Linked DNA regions of Nothobranchius furzeri. The protein of the gene in region 1 interacts with the protein of each later gene in a biochemical or structural test. Links are inferred from orthologs where the notes say so. Each region holds a gene or a part of one and is shown in the gene's direction. Other genes may lie near its edges. The genes, in order: plcg1, GRB2-associated-binding protein 1, pdgfrb, itk, bag3, fgfr2 and wasb.

The links.
Region 2: the proteins of plcg1 (region 1) and GRB2-associated-binding protein 1 form a complex in vitro, tested with the Homo sapiens proteins (2 studies listed by BioGRID and IntAct, with this or other methods). The link is inferred for Nothobranchius furzeri from reciprocal best matches to the Homo sapiens genes PLCG1 and GAB1.
Region 3: the proteins of plcg1 (region 1) and pdgfrb form a complex in vitro, tested with the Homo sapiens proteins (3 studies listed by BioGRID and IntAct, with this or other methods). The link is inferred for Nothobranchius furzeri from reciprocal best matches to the Homo sapiens genes PLCG1 and PDGFRB.
Region 4: the proteins of plcg1 (region 1) and itk form a complex in vitro, tested with the Homo sapiens proteins (2 studies listed by BioGRID, with this or other methods). The link is inferred for Nothobranchius furzeri from reciprocal best matches to the Homo sapiens genes PLCG1 and ITK.
Region 5: the proteins of plcg1 (region 1) and bag3 form a complex in vitro, tested with the Homo sapiens proteins (2 studies listed by BioGRID). The link is inferred for Nothobranchius furzeri from reciprocal best matches to the Homo sapiens genes PLCG1 and BAG3.
Region 6: the proteins of plcg1 (region 1) and fgfr2 form a complex in vitro, tested with the Homo sapiens proteins (2 studies listed by BioGRID and IntAct). The link is inferred for Nothobranchius furzeri from reciprocal best matches to the Homo sapiens genes PLCG1 and FGFR2.
Region 7: the proteins of plcg1 (region 1) and wasb form a complex in vitro, tested with the Homo sapiens proteins (2 studies listed by BioGRID). The link is inferred for Nothobranchius furzeri from reciprocal best matches to the Homo sapiens genes PLCG1 and WAS.

The regions. Positions count from the first base shown.
Region 1 is NC_091755.1:60,800,503-60,803,518, forward strand, and holds the end of plcg1 (1-phosphatidylinositol 4,5-bisphosphate phosphodiesterase gamma-1), read left to right. Parts: intron 1-438; coding exon 439-553; intron 554-1,316; coding exon 1,317-1,475; intron 1,476-1,564; coding exon 1,565-1,653; intron 1,654-1,892; coding exon 1,893-2,161; intron 2,162-2,243; coding exon 2,244-2,286; 3' UTR 2,287-2,516; downstream 2,517-3,016. UniProt on the Homo sapiens protein: Mediates the production of the second messenger molecules diacylglycerol (DAG) and inositol 1,4,5-trisphosphate (IP3). Plays an important role in the regulation of intracellular signaling cascades.
Region 2 is NC_091742.1:87,973,335-87,977,603, forward strand, and holds the start of GRB2-associated-binding protein 1, read left to right. Parts: upstream 1-1,469; 5' UTR 1,470-1,830; coding exon 1,831-1,905; intron 1,906-1,936; exon of another isoform or gene 1,937-3,336; coding exon of another isoform or gene 3,337-3,357; intron 3,358-4,269. UniProt on the Homo sapiens protein: Adapter protein that plays a role in intracellular signaling cascades triggered by activated receptor-type kinases. Plays a role in FGFR1 signaling. Probably involved in signaling by the epidermal growth factor receptor (EGFR) and the insulin receptor (INSR).
Region 3 is NC_091741.1:96,096,251-96,099,750, reverse strand, and holds part of pdgfrb (platelet-derived growth factor receptor beta), read left to right. Parts: intron 1-544; coding exon 545-725; intron 726-1,449; coding exon 1,450-1,565; intron 1,566-1,707; coding exon 1,708-1,831; intron 1,832-1,913; coding exon 1,914-2,125; intron 2,126-2,558; coding exon 2,559-2,653; intron 2,654-2,745; coding exon 2,746-2,878; intron 2,879-3,500. UniProt on the Homo sapiens protein: Tyrosine-protein kinase that acts as a cell-surface receptor for homodimeric PDGFB and PDGFD and for heterodimers formed by PDGFA and PDGFB, and plays an essential role in the regulation of embryonic development, cell proliferation, survival, differentiation, chemotaxis and migration.
Region 4 is NC_091742.1:50,784,797-50,788,989, reverse strand, and holds the start of itk (tyrosine-protein kinase ITK/TSK), read left to right. Parts: upstream 1-1,393; 5' UTR 1,394-2,499; coding exon 2,500-2,637; intron 2,638-2,735; coding exon 2,736-2,840; intron 2,841-3,141; coding exon 3,142-3,223; intron 3,224-3,491; coding exon 3,492-3,617; intron 3,618-4,193. UniProt on the Homo sapiens protein: Tyrosine kinase that plays an essential role in regulation of the adaptive immune response. Regulates the development, function and differentiation of conventional T-cells and nonconventional NKT-cells.
Region 5 is NC_091752.1:5,543,179-5,547,280, reverse strand, and holds the start of bag3 (BAG family molecular chaperone regulator 3), read left to right. Parts: upstream 1-1,302; 5' UTR 1,303-1,330; coding exon 1,331-1,501; intron 1,502-4,102. Other genes in the region: tial1 (nucleolysin TIAR), read right to left, coding at 183-211. UniProt on the Homo sapiens protein: Co-chaperone and adapter protein that connects different classes of molecular chaperones including heat shock proteins 70 (HSP70s), e.g. HSPA1A/HSP70 or HSPA8/HSC70, and small heat shock proteins (sHSPs), e.g. HSPB8.
Region 6 is NC_091752.1:4,229,865-4,233,364, forward strand, and holds part of fgfr2 (fibroblast growth factor receptor 2), read left to right. Parts: intron 1-291; coding exon 292-436; intron 437-2,117; coding exon 2,118-2,317; intron 2,318-3,500. UniProt on the Homo sapiens protein: Tyrosine-protein kinase that acts as a cell-surface receptor for fibroblast growth factors and plays an essential role in the regulation of cell proliferation, differentiation, migration and apoptosis, and in the regulation of embryonic development.
Region 7 is NC_091755.1:42,288,305-42,292,319, reverse strand, and holds the start of wasb (WASP actin nucleation promoting factor b), read left to right. Parts: upstream 1-1,215; 5' UTR 1,216-1,351; coding exon 1,352-1,453; intron 1,454-2,047; coding exon 2,048-2,188; intron 2,189-2,319; coding exon 2,320-2,406; intron 2,407-2,483; coding exon 2,484-2,580; intron 2,581-4,015. Other genes in the region: sodium-coupled neutral amino acid transporter 3, read left to right, coding at 19-123. UniProt on the Homo sapiens protein: Effector protein for Rho-type GTPases that regulates actin filament reorganization via its interaction with the Arp2/3 complex. Important for efficient actin polymerization. Possible regulator of lymphocyte and platelet function.

The DNA.
Region 1 (3,016 bases):
TCAAACAAAATCTAGAAATTGAACCCTTTTACAGTTACTTCTCGCAATATAAAAACATTATTCATCATCTGAGCAAAGAGCTGAAAGGGAGCACCAAAACATCTCCTAGTGCACCATTTAGGTTTGAGTCTTGGACACGTAGGTCGGCTCGGGACAATGCAAATATTTAATCGCATTGCAGTGATGTAAAACCTCCATGACTGCAGCAAAAGTGTGGGGAAAATGCATAAAATTAATGTCAGTTCTGCAGAAATTCACAGGCTACAACAGCTAAATGTGTTGGTCTGATGGGTTATTTCCTAAACAATAATTGTGATTTAGACCCAGTCTAAACTGGGTTGTGGTCAGCGTGTCAGTGCGCCAAAACCAGTAACTACATATTTACTAAGGAGCTTAATTTTCATGTGTTATTGTTTATTCCTCTGTTTTCTCCTGAAGGTCCTGGGTGCACGTCACCTGCCGAAGCACGGCCGAGGCATCGTTAGTCCTCTCGTTGAGATAGAAATTTGTGGGACAGATTATGACAGTACCAAAGTAAAAACTAACTCAGAAGGTAAGACCAACTTGAATTTGAACTCTTCTGTGCTCCTAAAAAGCATTCCACTTTAAAACTGTACAAATATTTTTGTTTACTGAATTCATTACGCCTGTGTCACTTCCTAGCCGCTGCTGGAAAACAGGAAGTTGCACAAACAATTAGGAAGTCTGGGAAAACGAGGCAAAACATTTCTCAATGATGTAATTGTAGCTCATCAGGTTTTAGCTGGAAACAAAACCTTGTGGCTCTTTTGTTTATTTTAGTTCATGGTAGATTTTGTTTTGGCATCAAGCTCGCTGACGATCATCTTTGCTCTCCAGAAATGACGAAGCTTCTGCTCCTGTTCATGGTGTTGCCGATTAACTCGACTGTCTCCAGTAAATAGCCAGCCTTTCTTCTCTGATGCTCTTTGATCTTCAGCTTCGTTTCTCTCCAGGGTTTTTGTTTTTCCTGTTTTCTTGAGAGGTCGTCGCAGTGTTTGCTGCCACGTGCAACTTGGTTTCATAGGAATACTAGAATGTTAATAACATTGACGGGCAGAATATTTCACAAATCATCACATTTTCCCCAGAAACCTCCTGCCAGGTGTGACTGTAGTGAGAAAATCCACGTCTGTCTTCATTTTACAGCTGACTGATGTAACTTAGTCAGATGTATCTTTTGTAGTGTCTGGCACAAACCGCAGCAAGCCCAGATGAAGTGGGTCATTACAGATTCACGGTTTGTTTTTGGGTGTAATGTTCAAACAGAATGTGACTTTTTGTTGTTTGTTCTCTAGCTGATAATGGACTGAACCCTACATGGCAGACAAAGTTTGAATTCAGTTTATTAAACTCCGCCTTTGCGTTCCTGCGTTTTGTGGTCTATGAGATCGACATGTTCAGTGACCAAAACTTCCTGGCTCAGGCCTCGTTCCCCATTCAAGGCCTCAGGACAGGTACGTGTTAAAGCAACTCATACGTTTGCTTGTTTCTGGAAAAATAAATGCTTTCTTTAATGAGTTTGAACCTGTCTGTGTTTTGCCAGGGTACCGCTCCGTACCGCTGAAGAACAGCTACAGCGAGGATCTGGAGCTGGCTTCTCTGTTGGTCCATGTGGACATTAGCAAAACCAGGGTGGGTTACGACTCCAGACTGAGCGGAGCTGCTCTTCCACTGACGTGCAGTTATTAGCACTTTAAACGCACACACACAAACCCATCCAGTCTTTTTGAGCATGGTCACATTTCATCATCAACCCAGAAAGCGTTTCTGAAGGATGACACTAGTTTAGAACATGTGAGAAGTTTTCAGGCGTTAGAAACAAAGGAGTTAAAGCGGTCAGCCTCATTAATCACGTTGGGTTTCCTGTTCAGGGTGAAAATGGTGAACTCCTGAGCCCGCTGTTTGCTGCCAGTCCCACAGCAGTACCAGCCTCAGCCCAAGTAGGACGAGATCGTTTTGGGGAGCTGAGCTCTGTGTCCTCCTCTCCCTCCACCATGTCCCCTCTGCCTCAGTCACCCCCCCAGGCCTCAGCCTACAGAGTGATGGATGGCCCTTTGGACACCCGCTACCAGGCCTCCATAGATGACTTCAGGGTGAGCCAAGAGTCTCTGTTGGACCACATGGACCCACAGAACAGACGGTGAGTGTGGAGACTTTACGCTTGTCCAGTTATGGGGGTGTACAACATTCACGGCGTCCTCTTGTCTTTGTCCTCTCTTTAGGAACTTGCGGAGGACCAAAGTGGGCGTAGAGAACCGCGTCTAAGTCCAAGCCAATCAGGACTCGCCCCCCCACCCAATCCTTCCCTCACCCAGCAGCCTCTCCACGTACTGATGATGTCACTGACTGCTGTGATCACTGTTTCCATGGAAACGCACACCACTGCTTTGGCCTACATTCGAGGCAGCTCTTTTCCTCCCACCCCTCCCTCCCCTACTCTGATGAGACTGAGGGTCTTGGATACAGGAGGGGTGGGGGACAGAGAGGAAGCTAATGGCTGTAGACAGGAAGAAGAAACGGTGTGGACAGGAAAACAAAAGGCTCTGGGCCTGGACGGTGTCGACGGAGCTCTTGTTGTGTATAACAGCTGCTTATTAAGGAGGCTATGGGGAGAGAGCTCCAAAAGGTCTGTTAGAAACTGTTTCAAGTTTAGATTCGTCACTTTTTCTTTTTCTCTTTCCATCGCCGTGTCTGAATATATATATATATATTTATTCGTGCTGCTGTCCAGAGAGCGGCAGCAGCAGCTGATGAGCTCTCAAAGAGCTCCTCTCTCTGTGTTTCTAAATGTTCTAATTATTTAAAACTTAAAGCATTCATGATGTGACTTTGTGTAAAACATGAGGGCTCCCCATGATTTTTTAAACATCTCTGCTTCACGTGCCTCCAGTTTGTCACACCTTAAATCTACTTTTTTTTTTGTTTTTGTTGGGCATCAGGAAAATGTCACGACCTGTCTGTGTCAGAGCAGCCAGAGAGCAGGTGGTGTCGTGTT
Region 2 (4,269 bases), on another chromosome or scaffold:
AACAAACTAAAAACTACTTCCAAAAACATTCAGCTTTGATATTAATGAGATTTTTGGGTTCATTGAGAACATGGTTGTTGTTCAATAATAAAATTATTCCTCAAAAATACAACTTGCCTAATAATTCTGCACTCCCTGCAGATTAGATCTGACTTTTTACAGATTAGAATTTGATGTTTATTATCTCACCTAAAATCTAGAAGAGATTTGTTGTCATGTTTAAAAAAACGTTTTGTTTCTGAATTAAGAAAAAAATGGCAAAAAAGTATGGATATTTTTTTTAATGAGATGCTGATGTTAGTGGAAAATTAATTAAAACAAACATAAAAAGATCTAAAAAATATTACGGGTACTTTTACTGTCATTCTGTTGTGGAAAACATTCAATGAAAACTCTGAAAAGCTGCTTAAACCTGCATTTTTTTATTATTGTGGGCCGATCTATGTTATTAAAATGATCAGAGCCACTACTGAGTAATGTGGTAACTTGAGGGGAACAGTGAAATAGTAAAGCTTTTGCTGTATGCTTCTTCATGTTGAATTCAAATGAAATATATACAAGAAATATTTAATAATAAGAATAATCATTGTATGTATATGTAACAGTGATGTTAGGGCTAAAAGGCAGAATATACGTTTTGTGTGTTTGTTTTTTCTCATTAAAGTGGAGCTTAACGTTGTCCCATATTTGAGTTGTCTCTGTCCCACGTGTGCCAAGTTGGGATCTGGTCACCCTTAGGTGTGATGCGAGCGCCTCTACTTGGAAGTCATTTGGCTCACGTGCCCGGTTATTTTTGGGCACTGGAGCAATGCAGGGTGTTCTCCAGAGGGTGGGCATTCCCCCAGAGTCACCCCCCGTTCGCCTCCTTGTCATTAGTTCTATTGTTTTGTCTTCCCATGTGGAGCAGCAGTCCACAAACCAGTCGGTATGGTAAGTGCGCAGCTCCAGAGATTCACGACTAAACCTGCGTCTGTTTTAAGGGCAGAACAGCAGAGGCGCTTGTGCATGAACGTTATGAGTTTGGTAATAAAAACGGTTCAGTGTGTGTGAGTGTAAAGCTCAGGGGAACGCTGATGAATGATGTGGAAGAAAAAAACATTATAGTTTATTTATGAAATGTAATCATTTAATAGTAATTATCACAGAGTGGTGGCTGTGGTAAATATTGGTATAATATTACAAAATGATGCCTGATATTTGTTGTATTGAAAACTTATTTTAACATACAATCGATCATCAAGGGGGTTTCGACAGTTCTCAGAAAAATTTAGTAAAAACATTGAAAAATGTCCGTTCTCATAACTCGGGATTTAGTTTTTTGCATCAGAAGACCTGAAAACTGGCGACGGTTACTGAAAGTTTTGTTTGAAAACCATTCCTCACACATGGGGGGGGGGGGGATTTTTTTCCTGTCTAACAGAATAGGGGGAGTGAGCAGGAAGGGGAGGAGCCAAAGAGAGGGAGGAGAGGAGAGAAGGAATGTCTGAGCTGAGGGATTGTGTTTGGTTATGGAGGGAGGAGTGATTCTGTTGGGAAATAAGTCTCTCAGGAGGAGGTGTGACTGCGTTAGTCAGCAGACGCGGAGCAGCTCTGGTGTGTGTGTGGATGAGCTCCTCCCAAACAGGATTCTTCTCAGCCAGGGAAACGTGTGTGAGGACAGAGCTGATCTGAGGTCCTGAGTTGTTTTGGGTTCTTCTGATTCAAACTCCTGCCGGCTGGAGTCTGGTGCGAGGTTCTGCTGGTTGAGTCTGTGGATTCAGACGGGATCTTCACCTGATCTGACTCCCGACCGGCTGTTGACAGGGTGACTGACTAACCAGAAACATCAGGATGAGCGGAGCGGCAGATGTGGTGTGTGAAGGATGGCTGAGGAAATCCCCACCAGAGAAGAAGCTACGGAGATACGTGAGTCCTCTCAGTTTCAAAAACTCATCTATTTCTTTATTTCTAACTAGATTAAACACACTCCACCGGCACTGGACTGGTGTTGATGGATGCTCATCTGAGTATTTTTTCTTAACTTTAATCATCATCGGTGTGCTGTCACCGTGGACGTGAGTCATTTCCTAAAGCCATGACTGTAAAACAATAAACACGTCCAGCAGAGAGCAGCCGCTGAGCTGAGACCCAGAAACGTTCTCATCTAACTTTTGTCTGCTGATAATAAACCAAACTGTTAAATCTGGATCCACAGCACCAGGTTTCCATTTCCTACTGTAAATCTTTAACAGTTAACTCAACGGTTAGTGGAAACGACACAAAGTTCATTCTGCATCTTTAAATTCAAATCTCCAACACCTGATGCCAGAGAGCTGGATCGGACACACACACACACACACACACACACACACACACACCACATTTCTGACATGCCTTCCCCGTGACTTGACCTAATCTCATCTCTCCTCCATATTTCCTCCCGTTTGCAGGGAGAAGCAGAACAATGTCTGCGGTCTACTCTTCCATCACTCTTTCTCTTTCATTTGTTGTACTCTCTCTTCCTCTCCTTTGGTCACATGCCTTCCTTTCTCTGTTTGTACGGAAAGTAAAGGAGGACTAAATCAGAGCAAGAGGGATCTATTTTTAGTAGCGTTGCTGTTTGAAACCTTCAGTTCAGAGAAAACGAGCTCAGATATGGGACATCCCAGCATGCTTCTAACGAATCAGCTGGTTTCAGAGATGTTTGCAGGAAAAGGTTTTTAGGAGGGAACCACTGGACAGGACAGGCGGTCAGCAGGGGAAACCAAAGAGGAAGACATCATAAAAAAGATTTAGTCCTCGCATGTACAATCTAGCACACACACACACACACACAGCTATGTTTCCATTGTCAACACCATAAAACCAGACTCGAGCGGCCCTAAAGGCTGCAGCAGCCTCCACGTGTTCCTGTAAAGAATGTGGATGAAGTTCCTGCTGCAGCCTACCTCCTCTTAACCTCCCTGCTCTGTCGAAAGCAGTGTGTGTGTGTGTGTGTGTGTAGGAGAAAGTGCGTTCGGGTGTGAGAGAGTGTGTGTTGCGTAATAAACTAATCGCTCTCAGCTGGGCCTGCCTGGAAGCTTTTAGGGCATCTGGAAACGCGGAGAGAGCGTAAACGTGACGTCGCTGACGTCAGCGGGTGTACGCGTCACAGATGCGTTTATGACAGTCTGACGGGAGGGAAGCTGACCTGAAACTTGTTTTCAAATGTAAACAAGTCTGATTTCACATTGTTGAGTTTTATTCTTCATCCTGTGATGGAACCATTAAAAGTTCTCCATGACTTTCGGGATCGATAAATGAGTGAGCCACAGCCACCCTCTGAGAGTCTGATGGCGACGTCACGTCTGAGGTTTCATGGACTCGGCTCTAAAGTTGGTGAGAGAGAATCGACATGTAGAGGGTTCATCTAAATAAGGAGATGTTTCTTTTGGGGGTAATTTTAGTTTGGAGGCAGGAAAAGGGAAGAGATATTTTAACTCTATTGTAGCTGCTTCCGGCTGAGGTCAAAGGTCAAAGGAGCAAACATCAGGAAACCAGAGGAGATCGCTGCAGGAAAATAACTTATCTCTATTATTACTAATATGTCGCCTTCACATGATTAAATCAAAAATAGAACACTTCTTCACAGAATAATTTTTAAAAAGCGCTTTTTAAACTTTTTTTATTCTCTGGTTCAGTTTAGTGGTTAGAAATAAAGTTTTATGTGGTTTGCTGATGTTGCTCGGATCAAAACTCATCTGTCATCAAACCTCTCCAGTCTCAACAGTGTTTTTATTTTTTAACCAAATTACTATTTTTTATGCATGAATATTAAAGTCAGACATGTTCATGGAAACAGGCGGAGAAAGCACGGAGAACGCTAATATTTGATCCTGTTGATTAGAATCAGGATCTACTTAAAACATCACCCTTGTTATTCCTAACATCTCAGGGAGGGTGGGGGGTTGTGGGGTGGGGGGGTAACGCCTTATGTTTATGTTTATTTATTTGGCCGACGCTTTTATCCAAAGCGACTTACAATGTATAACCTATAGGGCATGTTGTGATCTGTGGGGGAAACCGGAGTACCCGGAGGAAACCCACGCATGCATGGGGAGAACACCCAACTCCACACAGAAAGGCCACAGCCGAGTTTCGAACCTGCAACCTTCGTGCTGCGAGGCAACAGTGCTAACCACTGCGCCACCATGCAGCCCTGATTATTTCATTTCATTTATTTATTTAAGGACCGTGCACATTAATATACGTTACTGTAAATGTGCCAGTGTTAGCCAGCAGGCTAATTTT
Region 3 (3,500 bases), on another chromosome or scaffold:
TGCATGCACAAAAAATACCACAACTCTAAAGGAAAGCTTATCCTGCAACTCAATATAAATATTCTGATTATCTGATTGTTGCTGATGTCAGCTAAGATATCACTCAGATAAATAAATCAACATCTTTTTCTAATTTTATTTAAAATACATTAAAATTAACTATTTGTAGGTTGTCGTGTTGTTATGCCAACTTTAAGCTCACTGGCAGGTTTAGAATTACAGTTACTGGATGAAATAAGAAAGAAAACATACTGCAAATAACAAAAGTTTCATAAAACATTTATATAAAACCAGCAAATGTAGATGATTTTGTGACTATGGAACATATTTCAGAGCTGAAACAGAAGAAATGCCCTCACTAAAGCACATTCCCAGTTTGCTAAATGTTTTAATTTAAACACAGATGCACTACACGTGAGCAGTGGTTCATTCCTGCAGACGTGCACTGTTTGCATGTTTCTGACTAGAATAGAAAAACAGACATGCAAGAAATACTTAAAAGATTAAATAGAAAATGCTTTACAAAGGCTTGTTTTCTTCTCAGAACACGGTTTTGTGGACATGAAGCCCATGCAGCATCAGAGGATCTCAGCCAAGCTCCAGGAGAACGTGGAGCTGAGGGTGGACATCGAGGCCTACCCTCCTCCTCAGATTCTCTGGACCAAAGACGGCACCGCCATCAAGGGAGACACAGCCATCCTCTCCAGACAAGAGCATGAAATAAGGTGGAACAGCTCATCTAAATGCCTCCTTATATTTAAAGAATTATCAAAAACTTTGGACAGTCCAGGAGCCTCCAGAGGCGATCTGTCCGTCACCACCAGATGAGACCTCCACAGAGAGAAATCCAATCCTCTCCAGAGGGAAGGAAGCCATCTTTCAGCGCACAGGAACCATAAACACTAAATACCTATCACAACTCCCTAATGACCCTCAAACGCTCAACAAAGCCTGGGCTCTTGCCTTTTCAACCAAAACGATCGAATTAAATGGGATTTTAAAAGTTCATTGTTGAAAAGCCTCGAATCAATCAGTAAATCAGAAAAGTTCCTGTCCAACAGTTCTGCTTTTGGCTGAAATCGTCAGAAGATCATGTTTGATTATTGAGACGTGTTTGTCCTATTAATGGTGTTTTTCTTCTTTCTTTTTTCTTTTATTTTTTCTTTTATTTTTTCTAATTTTTACAAATTATTCATGTAGGTTAATCATTCATGTTAGAAATGATTGGAAAACAACATACCATATTTCAAATTTTTATCTAAACATTCCCATAAGAGACGTTTTTCCGTAGTCCCTGAGAGCCTCTCTGATGGAGGTTCTAACAAAACGTTGAACCTGTGGACATTTAGCTCCAGACAGAAGTTAATCTAATCAAACCCAAGAAACTCCTGAAAGATCGATGATTGTTTTTATTTTCCTGACAGCTTGTTCATTTGGCTTTTGCCTCAGGTATCTCACCATTCTCACCTTGGTGAGGGTGAGGGCGGAGCAGAAAGGCCTCTACGCTGTCCTCGTTACCAACGGAGACGACACGAAGCAGGTTGTCTTTGACTTGGAGGTCCAAGGTGTGAAAAAGTTCTCACAAACTCTAGAATGTTTAAATATTTGACACATTTTTGTTGTTTTTTTTCTCCACAAACATGTTTTTAAAGTAGCGTTTGAAGGCAAACTCAGTCATGATTAAAGCCTCCGCCTCCATGTTTGCAGTTCCAGCTCAGATTAAAGACCTGACAGACCACCACCTCCCAGGGCAGGGACACTTAGTGACCTGTGTAGCAGAGGGGTTTCCAGCTCCCATCATACAGTGGTACAGCTGTGACAGCATGCTGAAGTGAGTCACACACCCCCTGAGAACACAAGAGGGCTCCACTGCTGCTGCAGCTGTTCCCATCTCACCCGGTGTCCCGCTTCAGGTGCAACAACCAGTCTGCTGTGTGGCAGCCGCTGACCCCGCGACCGGAGGAGCTGAGCATCCAGACCAACGCCAGCTACAATGAGACTCATAAAATCATCCAGGTGCGCAGCAAGATGGTCTTCCTCAAGCCTCAGCACTTCACCGTTCGCTGTGAGACCACCAACCGAGCCGGACTGGTCAGCAGGAGGGATGTCAAACTGGTGTCCAGCAGTAAGTGCCACAAGATGTCAGACCTTTTATGTGTCATTTACACTTAGATAAGGAACACCTGAAGATTAGGAAATGCATTTTTATAATACGTTTATACATGTGTTTCTAAGCTGAATATTCAGCCCCTGGTGGCATTTTTAATTGACTCTTTGATGTTGGGCTAAAACTTTCCATCTTCAGATACGTTTTTGTCAGTAAAATCTGTCTATGTACAATATATATAAAGGCTATCATGTTTGTACCACAGATATCAGATCAGCTACGTTTTAAAGAAAATGTGTAATCTTGTGTTTACATTTGGTTAATAGTTTTTGACCCCCTTAATTGGTTAATTCTCCGTAAACCACAGACAGACGGATGCAGAGCTGACTGATGCACAAACATAAAGTTTTTCAAATGTAGTGATCTTTTCTGTCTCTGGTGTCTGTGGCAGCCTTGTTCTCCCAGGTGGCAGTGTTGGCTGCTGTTTTAGCCTTAGTGGTAATCATTATCTTGTCCATCATCATCCTCGTCGCCGTGTGGAGGAAGGTAAGACACTCCTCATCACATAAAAACAAACAGATCAAAATTATTCCTTCTTCCTCATGGCTCCTTGTTGTCCTCTTCACCCGTGCTAACAGAAACCACGCTATGAGATCCGATGGAAGGTGATTGAGTCCGTGAGTGTGGACGGACATGAGTACATCTACGTGGATCCCATCCACCTGCCCTACGACCTGGCCTGGGAGATGCCCAGAGACAACCTGGTCCTGGGTGAGTGTGATGTACCAGGAGTTGGAAAGACCTGTTTGTGTTTATTTTAATGTTAAGAAAACAGAAAATAAACAAATCACAAAGGCACAAAGTTAAAGAAAATGTTTAGTTGTTTTTTTTTTACATTTTAACCAAAAATAATGCTTAAACTTTATTTCCTACATGTGAAAAACTGATTCACGCCATTTTTAATTAAAAATAACTTTGTTTTAAATGATAATAGAAAGATACGATCTTTGAAAATGTTATAAAAACAGGATCTGTTTTTGCAAATGAACTCTTCATTTTTATAAAGTGGAAGGAAAATGACCATCCTCTGAATTCTTGTTGCTTTTACCCAGCTTCCACACTTGTTACAGCTGTGGTTTATTTAAAGAAAAGGCCTATTGATGCTGACTAATCTGATCATAGCTATGGCAGTTACAGGATATTTATGACCCATGATCAGCAGAAATAATCTCTTCTTAGAAGCTGCCTTTTTTATTTTTTTTATTATTCAATACAAAATGACCTTACAATTATTATTATTATTATTATTATTATTATTATTATTATTATTATTATTATTATTATTATTATTATTATTATTATTATTATTATTATACCGCAGTGTGCTCTACCA
Region 4 (4,193 bases), on another chromosome or scaffold:
TGAACTTTTTTTTAGCTGATAACCTGTACAGATGAGTGTCTAATAGTGCTGTAGACATGTGCAATTATCAGTGTGGCAGTTTAGTGCAACTTATTCTAAATTTAATATTTCAGCCCAAAACCATAGTTATATCTCCATCTTCAGATTAAAACTCGGCTCCACATTCATGTAGAACCAGCTGTGGCTGATGGCTAAGCTGAAAAACATGACATTATCAGCTGATTACTACTACTACACAATACATTACAGCTACCTAATGAGCACAATAACTTATTAGGTAACAGCATATCGTGTAGAGCTCTGCATCAAAAGATATACACTATTACACATAACAGATTGTAGTAAAAGCCTGAATGCCCCTCATTTGTACAAATAAATACTGTTAAATGTAAACTGCAGTAACAAATAAAATGTTTTTATTAAGAATTTATTATTGTTTGATTTACTTTTTGAGAGTTTCGATAAAAGATTCTCAAAATCCTTGTACATAAAATATATTTAAAAATTCGACAAACGTCATTCTCCCAATAACTGCAGGATTCTATCATTAGGCTGGAGGGGCAAATTCAATAATCAGCATACACTTCCAGTAAAGTGTTAGTCTAAAATCTAAACTAATGTGTTGCAGCACCAGTCCAGCACAAAACATTCAAAGCAAAACTAGATTCTGATGGGTTTTTAAGTTGCACCTACTGCTGTTGTTGGTAGGAAAAGTAGATATGAACTTAAAATGACACGTAAATTATAGTATACACACTACTGCTCATTTTGGCGTAAAACATTTGCAATCTAGTTTGAAGTAAAATTAGGCTTTATTAGCCATAGTTAATAATTATAGGTTTAATATCTGGCTGAAACGTTGTTCTTAGGTATTTAAGTAGTCAAATTCAACTCCTAGCACGCACCTAACCATTGAACCTTTGTCTTCTGTGTTACCTTTATTTTGTTACGGACTCAATGTGTTATTGACAAACACTACAAGCAGAACTACGTTAGCGTCACCGCTGCATTTTGTACAGAAACCTAGCTAACTATAGCCACCGCTAATCCCGGTAGTTAATTGGGCACGTCAAAAATGAAGCGAACTACATAAAAGGTAAATGAGAAGGGAGTAAATGTATTCATACCCACCTTAAGAACAATCCTTTAGAAACACAACATATACTTCTAATAATAACGTTAATCAAATATCGTTGGAAAATTAGATCAGGGCTAACATAGCTTCTTCGATAAATGCAGAAAAGACCAGTCGTTTCTGTTTGATTTCTATTGGCTGAACTGTCCTCGTGATTGTTTTCCTAACGCTGATTGGGGTGCGGTCACAGAAAGAGCTCAACGCTGATTGGTAGAAATATCCGGAAGCACGGAAAAATTTGTTTTTCTTTTACTTTGTTCTTCAGAGGATCGATGGAAAAAGTACCGTTTGATGCCCAAACTGAACTGATTTTATACATGAAAAAGAAAAGTTACTAAAATATTCAGATAACTGTTGAATATTTTTGAATGAAAATACTAATTTTAAAGACATAAAAACAATAACCTGTATATTAATTCCTTCGGGTTCTCATTTTACAAACTATGTCAGTTATTGTTTGTTCTTTATGTTTATTTAGCAGACGCTTTTATCCAAAGCGACTTACAATTTATGACCTATAGGGCATGTTGTGATCTGTTTGTCCTCTTTCAGAATCTGCAGAAATCTATGAATTTTATCCTAAAATAATAATAATAAAAAAAGATGATTGTGATTTCTTATGTATGTGAAACACCTGCCACAAACAGAACGGTGTAAAAGGGTTGATATCGATATTAAAAAGAAATTGGGTTGATAATGACAAACTGAATTCTATTATTCTCTTGTGAAAAGATAGTGAGCAGCATTTTAATTCCTAATGTTCCGAACCGGTTTGCTCACGTTTATTTATTTACTCCTTGTCACCTAGATGAGTTTTGTAAATTTTTATGTGGCTTAAGTAGTTTTTACTCTTTACTTTAATCAAGAATTTAATGGACTGCATTCACTGTAAACAGTCTAAACTTCTCTGAAAAATAACAATATTTTGACGTGTAACCCCTAAATGCAAAGACACATTTAGAGAAAGAGAGATATTTCTTTATCTTAACTTTTTTCAGTGATGTTTTGTGTTTTGTTACTCATTTTATCTTCCCAATTGTTTAAAAAAGTACTACCAAAACCTGGATTTCTGCATTCACAGTCCTGCTTTGGGCTTAACTTGTTAATTCTCTATAACATTAGTGAAAGTACATGTGCAGGGTAGACATCTACAGTGTTTGTGCATCAAACAGTGTGTATTTCTGCTTGCGCAAATCATTTGTTGCCACAAGGATGTGGTTTACTGCCTGCCGCAGCTTCACGCCGGAAGCTCCACAGCATCTACGAAGTTTATCATCCACAACTTTGCCTTTTCTTCTTCTGACTCTGCGAGGCTCTGCTTGTGACAAAACCATTCGCAGACGCTCGCTGCGTTCTTCTTGACAATGTTCCCCAGGGTGATTTTGAGGGGAACCATGATCAAAAAATCCCAGCAAAAGAAAAGAACATCACCAAATAACTACAAAGAGAGGTTTTTTGTGTTGGACACTCAGGATCTGAAGTATTCGGAGTGCCGTCCGGGGGTAAGTCCACACGATTTTGTATTGAAATGTGGTTTTCTTAAAGTCACATTTTCTATGGCGTTGAATCTATGTGACACAGAGCGTGTTAATGTGTGCAGAAAAAGCCCATGTTGAAAGGTTGCATTCAACTGTCCAGGATTAGGTGTGTGGAGATTGTGTGCAGTGACATTCCCATACCTTGCAGCTACAAGTACCCGTTTCAGGTGAACATCATTATTATCCTTTAGGGTCACAAGGTCATTTCATTGTCATAAGAAGAAGAACATGGCATTTCTTCTGAGTAAAGGGTGAATAAAAAACAAAATAAATTCGAGTGTTGACTTTATTATATGAAGCACCTTTATTAATGCAACCGATGGATATTCCGAAGTTCTGTGCATAAAAGCAAAACATCAGAAGCAGAAAAGCACACCCAAATTCAATGAAAGGATGCACAAAAGCTGTGAAATGAACCAAAGGAAACAGGTCACTCTGTATTTTAACAGAAGTCTGATGTCCCTGCAGGTTTTCCATGACAACCATTACCTCTACATATTTGCTCCGGACAATGATTGTCGTCAGAGATGGGTCAGAGCACTGAAAGAGGGTAATTCTTATGTGAATGCACCATCAGATTACCACCAACCCATGTCACGAATCTGTTAATATTTGAAGAGTCCATCTGCAAAAGCAGACGAGAGCCACCAGCGATCAAAATCACCAAACGTTAGTTTCACTGATATCGCTTCAAGTAAAAGATGCATTCTACGAACATTTGTGAAAATCGGTTCATCTGGGGGGTTTTTGCAAGTAAACTCTTCATTACTTCGTCTCAACCAAATGCATAAAACAGATGTTTGATTTCTTCAACCTAGAGACGAAGCACAATGAGTTGGTTCCAAAATTTCACCCAAACTTCTGGATGGATGGAAAGTGGCGATGCTGCCAACAGCACGAGAAGCTGGCAGCGGGTTGTCAGTTATACGACCCAGCGAGCTGTGGTTAGTATTTGTTGTCTTTCTTCTAATTGTCAAACGTGTGTTTTCACCAAAGATGGACCAAATATATATATATATATATATATATATATATATATATATATATATATGTGAATAGCATGGCTTTGCAGATAGCAACATAAAGTAACACACTGCACCAAAGTTCAATGACCTGATCAAGTCACGCACACACAAATAGCAAAAAATTGAAAATAGCGGCACGAGACAAAATTTTGCAATTATTTTCACATATAGTTGCAAATGAGGACAAAGCGCCTTGTTTTTGTTGGTTTCTTCTGCTAAAAGGGGCGTGGCACCTGTCCTGGTGGTTCTGTTGTGTTTCTGTTCATTATAAGAAATTCCTGTGATGCTGTTGGGGCTAGTAAATTTAAATTTTACAAGATCAGAATCAAATCTGAACATCTGTTCATGTTTTCTTCAGCTAGTTGCTTTTTTTTCGGATAAAATTGCACGTGATAATCTGTCTTGTTGAGTATTTCTTTCGACTACATCTCCATCTACCAATATCTTACCACAGAGTTCCATATAACTTCTAAGAAAATTCTGCTGGTGCTTCAA
Region 5 (4,102 bases), on another chromosome or scaffold:
CTAACGTTTTTTTTAATCGTCGAAATATACGTGTTTTTGAACGCCTACTAATTAAAAACGTAAATTAACACTTAATATTGAACGTTGTCTACACTTGTTTTTTGGACATGTAGCTCAGTTAGCCGCTGCGTATGAGAAACCAAACGAAAGCTAGCTACCACGAAAACACTAAAAATACTTACAGGGTTCTGGGGTAACTTTCGTCGTCCATGACCAACACTGAACGTGACGTCGTAGAAAAAATATAAACTATTTGGTAATTAAAGGACGTAGACTGAGAGATAAACGCTGTAAACAACGAGCTAACTAGCTTAGAAAGCTAACCGGGCAACGTTTCTTACGTCACGCTGAGTGTGCTAACTGCGCCTGCGCATGAGCACCGAAAGGTCAACCCAAAGGGTCTGGGTCAACCTTTAGTTCGAAGCTATAAATGGCTTAATTTTATTCTGTAAGTTGAATTCACCGTGTGTAAATAGAAATTAATTGAATAAAACAGTTGATTCAGAGAATATAATGACTTATTTCCCTCTTGCTTTTCGAAAGCAACGCAATTTACGTAAAAGGCTTTTATTTTGAAGTCCATTACATGGGTACGCTCGTTTTGTATTTCGAGGTTTTCACGATTTGGACTCGAACAAAACAAGCATCGGTACTCATTTTTCACAAGGTTTTCCGAATTTTTAAACTTGATAATAGAAACAAGATGGGGTTCTTTTCCTCACAAAAATGACACACATTTTATAACAGACTAGATGACATACATATTTCTAATTTTAATCTCAGAAAGGAGCCAATATTCTACCCTTTCTCATAATTCTTACAATCTAAGAAATCTGAGAAAATAACTTTTTATCAGTGGCCTTAATTCTCCTCCGTAGATATTTATCAGAACGATAAATCATATTTGTTTCAAGTTCCTGGCGTTTTGTGTCTCCGCACCGATGCAGACGCATAAACAGGTTTAGCAGTTGCATCTCTAAGCAAATTGGATTGAGGGGAAAAACTGCTGTTCAAACCCCAGGTCTAATAGATTTGCGCATGCGTGAGTGAGAAGGTTTCAGGGTTATTACGTGATTCTGGGGTTGTTATTAAAGTAGAGCTGGTAATAGCTGCTCTCTGTAAACACCAACTATAACTAAATTAATGTAGTGTCTTTTGTTGGGGGGTGTCTGCGACACAAGAAGTAGCCGCCATGCCGCTGCTTCCAGCGCGGTCCGCCGCCCCCGACATTAACCCCGCTATTTCGAGAAACTTCCAGCCCACTTTCCTACGTCACTCGCAGGAATCTTTAAAGGGACCGCCGCCCATAAAAAATGTCTCAGTACTCGCCATGAACGCAGTGAAGACGCACTCTCCGACACTTGTGATGGCTGATAATGACATCGACCAGCTCCCCCTCGGATGGGAAGTCAAAATCGACCCTCACACTGGATGGCCCTTTTTCGTGGATCACAACAACCGGACGACAACCTGGAATGACCCGAGACACGACACCAAAAAGGTAACGGAGGCGGGATAAAGTTGTTTCAACGGGTTTCCGTAGGGTGCTGCGTCGGTTACGGATTGTGTTAAGCTGCTGGAGTCGCTACGCTACATGGCTGTTTTGTGTTAATCTTGTTGACTGTAGGCCTTGTTAGGTCCCGTCGCCTCCCCCTCACTGACTGCTCATAAGCCTAATAAAACGGGTGATCAGCCCCGTTATGTTCCCGAGTCATGATCTAACACTATTATTACCCGATGACTCACTGCCGAGTGTCAAGGCTTTCTGATACCAGCGTTAATTTAGGTGGAAAACTCATTATAAACTTTTTTACCCACAAAATAAAATGCAGTTGGGTCCCATTCCATTTAGGATATTGAATCTGGTTGTTTAGATGTGGAAATGTAGAAATCTACAGGTCTGTAATCAAATCCGTGGGCTGACGTGAGCTCCACAGGCTGCCAGCTGGGTAATCTTTCTTCATAGGGACAGACACTGTTTTCCAAAGTTAGTGTCCTGAGGAATCTGCTAGAAAGACACAGCTGTTGAGGGATAAAATTGGTGCATTGGACCAGGCAGAGGGCAAAGGGTCGTTCACGGCTATTTCTCAACTTTTGCTGGAGGATTATCAATAGTTCACACATTAATGCCCTGCTTGTAGTTGTATTTTATTTATTTTTTATTATCTCAGCTGCATGGGGCACTTTCAGTGTTGGTGTTTGATCATTCTGAGGCTTATGTAAAAAAAGTATTTGCACCTTTACAGATTTCTTCTGCTTTTGTTCTTTTTGTTGTCACGCATAAATGTTTCAGATCAGCAAAGACAAAATGCAGTTTTCAGATGAAGACTTCAAGTTCTCTTAACCAATAACTCTGAACACTCTTGGACAGAGGCGGCACCAGGACATTTTCATGGGGGACAAGATTGGGGGGCCAAGGAAAATTTAAGGGTGGCACATCAAACTAGTTCTCTTGGTAACTCTTGAGTTTTTTAGCCTGTAGCTGTGCTCTGCATCCTCATCCATTCTTAAAAAATATGCAGCAGAAATGTTATATTTGAGAAAATAAGAAACTTCAAATATTTAATTTATTCATACTTTAACATTTACTTTTTAGTAGTTTAGAACAGCTGGATGTATCTGTCGCTGTCTTAATGAATGCATTTTACAAAACAGATTGATATTTGTACTTCTTCTTGAAAATGGTGCACAGCAGCAACATATTAATTTGTTTACTTATTTCTATATTTGTAAGGTTTTACATTTTATTAAAGAAGACTAATGTATAGTTTTGTGAACATAAATATTGAACATAAATATGATTTATTAAAGGAGGTTGGAGAGTGGAAGTGCTCTGAGGTGGCCAGCAATTTTCCAGGATTGGTCAAGGCCCCCCTCTGGCCACCACTTGGGGGCGCCACTGTTCTTGAAGGCAACAACTGCAATTAAAGAGACGGTGTGTATTTTTCCTGGCGATAGGGGGCAGTAGATACATAAATCGTTGCAAGCAAGCAGTATTTTTGTGTTTGAGTAACCCCAAAATTCCACTATCTCCGCTCCGGCACGAACTCTGCAGCAAAAACGGTCCCGTTGTAGTCAATCAGAGCTGTTCCACTACTGCGGCCGTGCGGCGCAGTGAGCCGTTCCGCCATCCGGCAAAAATGGATTGATTCTATTTTTGCCGGACGCCGGAGCACCTCCGCAGTCAAAGGACAGAAATCACAATCGCCCAACAGGAAAGGGAGCAAGCACAACTTCCGTTATTTCACAATAAATCGATAAACAAAAAACGTTTTTTGTTTCATATGCACATGTTTAACAACTTTTAACAACTATCAATGGCGGTTGAACTTTAAATGCACAACATAAGCCATAAATACAGTTTCTACTATCAAAGTAGTCACACTTTGTTGATCCAAACACTGCTGATCTCTCAACACAAATGATGGGCAGATTAAACAGTTCATTTCGATGCTTCCCCCACACAACGGGTGTTTGGATCTAACTTCCAACGAGCATTTATTGCTCGGACTGTATCGCAAGATCTCGAAAATCCAGCGCATGCCTGTTTGCGCACCTCAGGTCTCTGCACCGGAGCGGAGCCGTTGTAGAGCGGGTACCAGTAAAAATTGAGTTCGGAAGCGAGCGGCTGCGGAAAGCGACAGATGCTCATTAGGGTCAAAAAGCCCTGGGGAGTGCAAACTTTAGTAAAATGACAAGCACATCAGACTCCCTTTAATCAGTGGCAACAAGTGAAGAGGTAAATGTGTAAAACAACATTTAAGAATGACAAAAGTTTTGTAACTGTTTGTTACAAATCAGTAAATGCAATTTGTCCTCACGGGCTCCCTTAGAAGGAAACTTGACATCTAATATGGAGTCACCCAGAGACTTAGACCCACTCCCATGTATTTTAGACCTGATTTTTATGGTTATTATACAAAGCCGTCAATCATTTTCAACAACTGGGCATCATTCCATTAATTTAACGACATTTTGATGGATATTTCCAGAAATGAATGATTAAAAACTACACATTGTCTCTTTAAGCTCAAGAACAACGAGTCAATCTCTTTAAGAGTCTCACTTGGAAATCACCTATACGTTATATAAAGGGGAAAGT
Region 6 (3,500 bases), on another chromosome or scaffold:
GTTTCTGTAAGCAGGTTCCAATGGTGATGGGTATTGTTTGCTTTTGCTGTATTGTTTATGTTTTCCTTATGTTACGGTGTTTTGGGCTTTGTCTTCTCCCCCTCGTCACTCCCAGCATCATTCCTCTAGATGGGACCACAAGAATGGACACTATCCAGCTCCTTAGAAACCTTTTCTGGTGTTGTGGGTCTAATTTATTTTCTTTCTATTCTCTGCTCTCATCTTCTGACTTCACCTTCTTCTTTTACGTTTGCACCTCTCTTCTTCCTCCTTTTTCTCCTCCTCTTCCAGACCGCAGGAGTTAACACCACAGATAAGGAGATAGAAGTTCTCTACTTGCCCAATGTAACATTTGAGGATGCTGGGGAGTATACATGCTTGGCGGGTAATTCTATTGGGATCTCCTATCACACTGCTACTTTGACGGTGCTTCCAGGTATAAGAACTCGTATGGTGCCCCTTTGTTCTCTTTCTTGTTTTTGTCTCAAGTAGTTGCATGTTGAATGACCTTCATGCAAGGCAAATCCTCCCCTTGGAATCCAGTTTGCACGACTCAAGTATTGGTTGATTATGCAGTGACTTGGCGAACTGTTGAAAACTCCGAAAAGATGTTTGTGTATTTTGTTGTCAACTCGTCGGATTGCAACTCCGGATTCCAACAGCAGCAGAGGAATTGCCTTCTCTTTATTCCCATCCTTCCGACTGCTTTGGGATACTTTTATCAGTGCCAAACTTTGGCTCAGATTGTTTGTAAACTCGTGCCTCCAGTTGTCTCCTTTCCCATTTCCTGGCTCTGATAATTGGCTCCTTTTAGGATCTTCTTCATTTTCATGTAAATTTAGAAAGATGTAGCTCAACACTCGCTTCATGTTGGCTTAACTTTCTCAATTATCAGAGCCAAACCTCTCCGCTTCGACACGACGACTCATGCTTGTGAATGTGACATTCATCCATTGGTTCAGTCTGTCGCCTTATATCGGGACAGGAAATACCAAAGGGTCAAATAGACAAAAGTCATGAGTCCAGCGAGCATTTAAGAGATTAGTTGACAGTCCTCACTCAACAGACCAAACTGGTATTCGGCCATTTCTGGTAGGAGTTTTATTGAATATGTTCTGCCCATAAAGTGCTCTTTTTGTACTGGTGGTGCTTTTGAGGCAGATCTGTCCATGTGTTGTGGTTTTAAAACACAATTATAAAAACACAGTCTCCTACGTGCAGCTGCCCGACGGCTCATGGCTTGGCTCTGAATTGTTTGTCGTCTGGATGGCTCTGCATTTATGGAACGGTTTTTCTGCAGCATGCACTCATCCAAGCTCGGCCCATTTCGCTGACAGGAAGTTCAGTCCATATAAAACCACAGTAGACACTGGAAAGCTTTAAAATGCTCAGATGTCTTTGAGGGTGTTTGTGAGCTCACGCGTCTCTTTATTAATTCAAGTTTATTTATAAAGCGCCAAATCACGACAAGCGCCGTCTCAAGGCACCTCACACAGTAAACATTTCAGTTCATTAGGCCAATCAGAAAAAAGTTTCCCATATTAGGAACCCAGCAGGTAGCGTCGAGTCACTGTCAGTGTCTTTACAGCCATGGACGTAATTTTCACTTTAGAAGTGGGGGGGACATGGAGGGGGGGGTGGTACCTTTACAGTATGCTCTAATGGGAAACAGGCTTCAACACAAACGGTTGTTTTCCACTTGGTCCTTGAGCTCAACCAGTGTCAATTTAATATAGCGTAATATTGTTTTTGGATGGTAAAAAGTGCAGGGATCAAAACTTGACTTTGGAAAAAGTGAGGGGGACATGTCCCCCCTGTCCCCCCCCAAAATTACGTCCATGTTTACAGCGATCCTCATTTATTCAGCTGCGTACCAGCCTGGTTGTTGTAGCGGAGTCATGATTTCAGATCTGTCATGCATGCTGATAACTTTGGCAAATAAAGAAAACGCTTCTGTTTGTTATTCTTCCGACAGTGATTACGTTTGCACACGAGTCATCTCCAAAGCACGTGTCTCTGTGTTTGCCTTATTCTTGTGCCTCGGTTCAAATGAAGCACATGTGCGACCGTCTCCTTTCTTTTTCTCTGATCACTAACCCTTCTGTCGTTTTTTCTAGCGCCTGACAAATCCATAGAGCCCATTTCTCCAGATTATGTGGAAATTGCCATTTACTGCGCCGGCGTCTTCCTCATCACCTGCATGGTGGCCATCGTGGTGGTGTGTCGCATGAGAAACACCACAAAGAAGCCCGACTTTGGGGGGCAACCGACGGTCCACAAACTCACCAAACAGATTCCTCTGCGCCGCCAGGTAACAGAAAGTAGATAAAGAGTTCTAAAGGCATCTAACACCTCCAGAGGAAAACACACACACACACACACACACACACACACACACACAGTGACTTTAGTTTTTACTTCATTTAAAGAGCAAGTCACTCCAAATCAACATGTTTTTGCTGATAAACTATATAAATGAGTGTCTGATCGTGCTGTAGACAAATGTATTCAATAATTCGGCATTTTAGTTCAAATTTAAACATTCTGCCTAAAACTGTCTGCGATGTACCGTCGTCAGGGAAAAATTCTGCACTGTACTTGAATTTAAATCTGCCATCGCTATTGGCTAAGAGGTAAACTATGATGTTAGATGGTAGATTATGATGTCACAATGTCGTGAGTGTGTGTATTTGTTAGTGACTCCGCCCTCTCGGTCTGCTAGGCCACAGCATTTGTTGCATTTTTCAAACAGGAAGTGGGAGTTGAGTAAGAATCTGGTCGTGGGTGACTTGCTCTTTAAAGTATGTAGCTGTAGTTCACACCAAATACATTTAAAAATCATAAAAAATATATTTAATGCATTTTAAGTTAAACATTTACTTCATTTTCTCATTGATGCAATTCATCTGCATTACTGGAATAGTTTAAAATGTGTTTTTTATATAAAATAAAACTTTAAATATAAACAAAAAGTAGAATAAGCACATTGCTGCAGATGCACATGTGGCTTTTACCGCTGCTTTAAAGCTGTGTTTTGTCATATTTAGCTCTTGGTCACCTTTTCATCCTTTTGATTTAAGAAACTTCAAATTTATGTATAAATATTTAAACACAAATCCCAAAATGTGTGTTAAATAATTAGGCATATATCTAAATATGTTAATAAAAAATGCCTGGAACAAGTTTAAACACATAAAGTTTAATTCAAACATGAGATCTAAATATAGATGTGTCACTTTTAAACTAAATATTAATGTGATTTACACGTTTGGACTGATTTAAACCATAAGTAACCTCCCAAGGTAACAGCAGGGTGCAGAGGTGCCCTCACAAACATCTCAAAGTTCCTTTGAACTTTGAGATGTTTCAGATTTAACTCAAATTAATTAGATTTAATTTTATATTTTCAGATATGATAAAAATATATGAATTATTTTCTAAAATGTAGAAAAATGAAGCAGTTTGTTGCTTTAAAATTGGCCCCATGGAGCGGATTCATT
Region 7 (4,015 bases), about 19 Mb from region 1:
CGTGCTCTCTGTTGGCAGGCTATGTGTTTTGCTGCATTAGGGTTCATCTTCATGATCTTGAGCCTGTCGTTTATCATCATCGGCTGGGTCACGGGAAAGTCTCGGAGCGGCGGTGGACACTAGCTAGCAGCTACAAGCCAAGACTGACCAGAGGAACTCCAAACAGCACGTCAACCAAAACTCACCCTGCAAACAAACCCCACCGGTCAGCCGAGTTCTCATCCGGGGTTTGGTGATTTACGACGAAGGACAACAGTGAAGAGCCTCGCCCAAAGGAAGAGCTTTCCTGATGGGTGCTGTGCGTTGACTGAATGCACCGCTCAGAGCAAGGATGCTGGTGGGGCCGTGAAGCAGGAGGACAAACGAGAACCAAAGCAGAAGTCCGGTTTCAGGAGCCGGGTGGAAAAACGGAGCCACTATCATTTACTTCCATAATACGTCATATAAGTTTTTGTTCATTAACTTTTACTAAACAAACATTCATTATAGGTTGTTCATTCTGTTAGTTTTTTATGTACAAGATTCTGGTAAGATGTTGCTCGGGTAACAACGAGGAGCTGATGGTCGGCATCGCCACGGAGGAACTTTATTTCACCTAAAGACAACTTTCTGTGTGATGAAACTCATTTAATGTGTTTTTATGTCTCCTGACGACTGACAGGCGGCTCTGTACAAGGTCATGATTTAGGTACCGATGCAACCCGGTGCAATATGTAGGAGATTATGCTGCTGTTGTCGACGGTCAGTCAGAGGGTTACTGATAGTTGTGTGACTCTGAAAGGTGGTTCACACAAGTGAAAAACTGTTTTCTGTTCGTCTCCAACCCACAAACCAAAGAGTATTTAACTGTTACGTTAAGAGAGAGAATGCATTGTTTTCCTGTCACATTCAGCTGTTCGATCAGTTAAATTCAACACCCAGACTGTTTCATCATTTCCTGCATTTACAATTCAGTTGCTTTTAATTGTTTTTATTGTACGACTGGACCAAACACCTTTGTTCCAGAGCCTGCGCGTTTTAAAAATGTATTTAAATGTTGTTTGTCAATAAAAAAAAGTCTCTTCTTTGTACTTCCTGTACATCTGATGCTGATTATTTATGCATGTAAACTCTGAGCTGGAGGGAAGCAGCAGTGCCCTGCCTCTGTCTGAACATGGAAGTGACACGTTCACGTCAGAGTGAGAGAAGACAAGTGGGGGTTAGAGAAGTGTGGCTGTCTGCTTCCTGCTTCGAGCTGATGCTCGCTCAGAACAGAGAAGAGAAACTTCCTGGATCGTAGAGAATATTCCGACCGCTGTCCTCTTCGTTTTAGACTTTTGATGCCGTTACATGTTGGTTTGTGAGAGGCGTCATGAGTCGTGGAGCTAAGAGTAAAACAGAGAGCGATCGAAGCTCTTTGCTGAGCCAACAGGAGAATGACATGTTGGAGGAGCTGCTGGGCAGAAGGTGTGCTGTAAGTTCTGAACCGGGAGGAAATAACCCACCGTTCAATTTATTATTCATCACTTCTGCTGCTAAACAAAACTAACGCATTCCGATTGCCTGCCTATATGTTAGATTTCCTCCTCTTTGAGCCGCTAAAACGTCACATGCTGAAGAGGCAGGCGTTAGCTGAGGCCTGTCTCCTAAAACATCATCCTTTTGAGTTGGGAACTGAAAGATCCTTTCTGTAAGCAGCTGTGAGTGATGTTAAGTTATTTGCTGTTGGGTCACCATGACGGAGGCAGCTGTAACAGGAAATGCTGGCTGGCTGGATTCTTCCTCTCCTGTCAGATGTAGACGCCATGGCTGGTTTGGTCTGACAGCAGAGCAGAAGTTTAGTTTTTGACTTCATTCGTCCGTAGGAGTAAGCTGGCAGAGCCGTGAGACATCAGACGTGTGTCAGGTGTAATCCGGAGAAGACAGAGAGCCTTTTGAGCTCTTATCACAAAAATGAGAGCAGAGGAGGAAGTTATCCACCAGCAACGAGCAAATTTACATGTCAACTGGGTGTGTGTGTGTGTGTGTGCGTGCGTGTGCGTGTGTGTGTGTGCGTGTGTGTGTTTAGTCCACAGCCACCGCTGTAGCACAGCTGTTCATGGCTCTGCCACACAGCCCGTCCACATGGAGCCTGCAGCACACCGGAGTGGTCTGCTTCGTCAAAGACAACCCTCAGCGCTCCTACTTCATCCGGATGTTCGATTTGAAGGTCAAATAAAGAATCTATGAGCTCATCCTCTCTAGGTTTTGTGACTGACGTCTCCGTTGGAGAAGCTGTGACTCAGATGTGACGGGAGTTAGTGAGGGGCAGACGCGCTGACCAGGCACTTTTTTCCACAGGCAGGGAAACGGGTTTGGGAGCAGGAGCTGTACGACCAGATGGCTTACTTCACGCCTCTGCAATACTTTCACACCTTTCCTGCAGATGTAAGCGCGCACTAATCACACAAGGCAATAACTGTGTCAGTATGAAATTGTGAGTGTGTGTTTGGGTGAGTTAACAGGACTGCCAGGTGGGCCTGAACTTCACGGACCAACAGGAGGCAGACGCCTTCCAGCATGCTGTCGTGGAGAAAATCAACCAGCGGAACAGCCGGATGGGTCAGCACGCTCCTGCTCCTCTCACTACAGAGCTTTAACCCTCCGGAGGCAGGCGTTGCAGATTAGCAACGTTAAAACCTACCGACCTGGTTTCTCCACATACGTGTTTCATGAGCATGTTTTAACTCAGGAGCACCCCTGAAGGACTTAGTTGTTCGTCCTTTTATCATAACTTACTTTGAGCCTGAGAGGGTTAAGCAGACGTTTAGAAGGACACGCTTCCATGTTTATATTTAGAACAGGTTTGGGTTATGGGCTCGGCTGTAGCACCCTACATCAATAGTAGTCAACGGGGGCGGATCTTCAGGGGGGAACATTGTTGTAAAGCCTTGCCTTCCTCTGCTGCCTCCCTACTTCTATGTCCTAAACGGTGTATTCACATCTGGGTCGGCCCGGTCCATCCCTGGCAGGGTAATTGTGTTCACATCGGGGTAATCTGTGTGTTTTCTGTGCTCAGCCGACCATTTTTTCCAGATCTCATCTCCAGCGGACAGCTTGGCACTGACAACACATCCACTTCGGACCGACTGGGTGGCCAAAGTTCATGTCTGCCTACAGAGAAAGCCTTTGATTGGCAAGCAGAATCAGCCAGTGCTGGCTTCCTGCATACATGATTCATAATCATTCTGGATGCAGTGGAGTAAACATCTCCTCCGACTGCAGCTCACACCTGCCGTGGGAGCACAAAGCCAGACAGCTGTGAGGAGCGCGTGGCGGTCTCAGTGAGACAGTAGGAAGCTGTGTGCTTCATGTCAGAGTCTCTCAAAGCAACGCAACTCTCAGCCACCTTTGTTTACTAATTGAAAAAAGGACACCGTGGACTTCTCCATGCATCTTTTGCCCCGCCTACATGCTCGGAGACGTCTACGTTCCTGAGAAGGCTGTGCAAACAAAACCTGGCCATGGTGGGATGGGCCAACCCAGCCAGGACCCAACCGGGCTGGGCCAGATGTGAAAATGCCACGAGTGATGGCAGAATCAGTCCAGCAGGGGCGGATTAAGAACTGAAGAACATCCGGGGCTTAACACACGCACACACGCGCGCGAACACACGCGCGCGCGCGCACACACACACACACACACACACACACACACACACACACACACACACACACACACACACACACACACGCACACACACACACACAAGTGACACGCACTAGTCAACATCATATATATTTGTCTTGTACCACATCATTTTTAATCTGAAGCTACATATTAAGCATTTTCAGGGCAGAGTATTGTTCCTGTTAGTGTTTAGTGTGAGATGATAGTAAATATTACCTTTCTTTCTCCAACAACTTTACCTGATAAGCTAACTTTAGGCAAACCAGCAGCACAACAAATATTTTCTAATAAGACTCACAAACCTGAGTCAGCACCAGTCTCATCAAAGCTGGGGTTCTGTCGCCGTACTTTTGGTCTAAAACGTCCT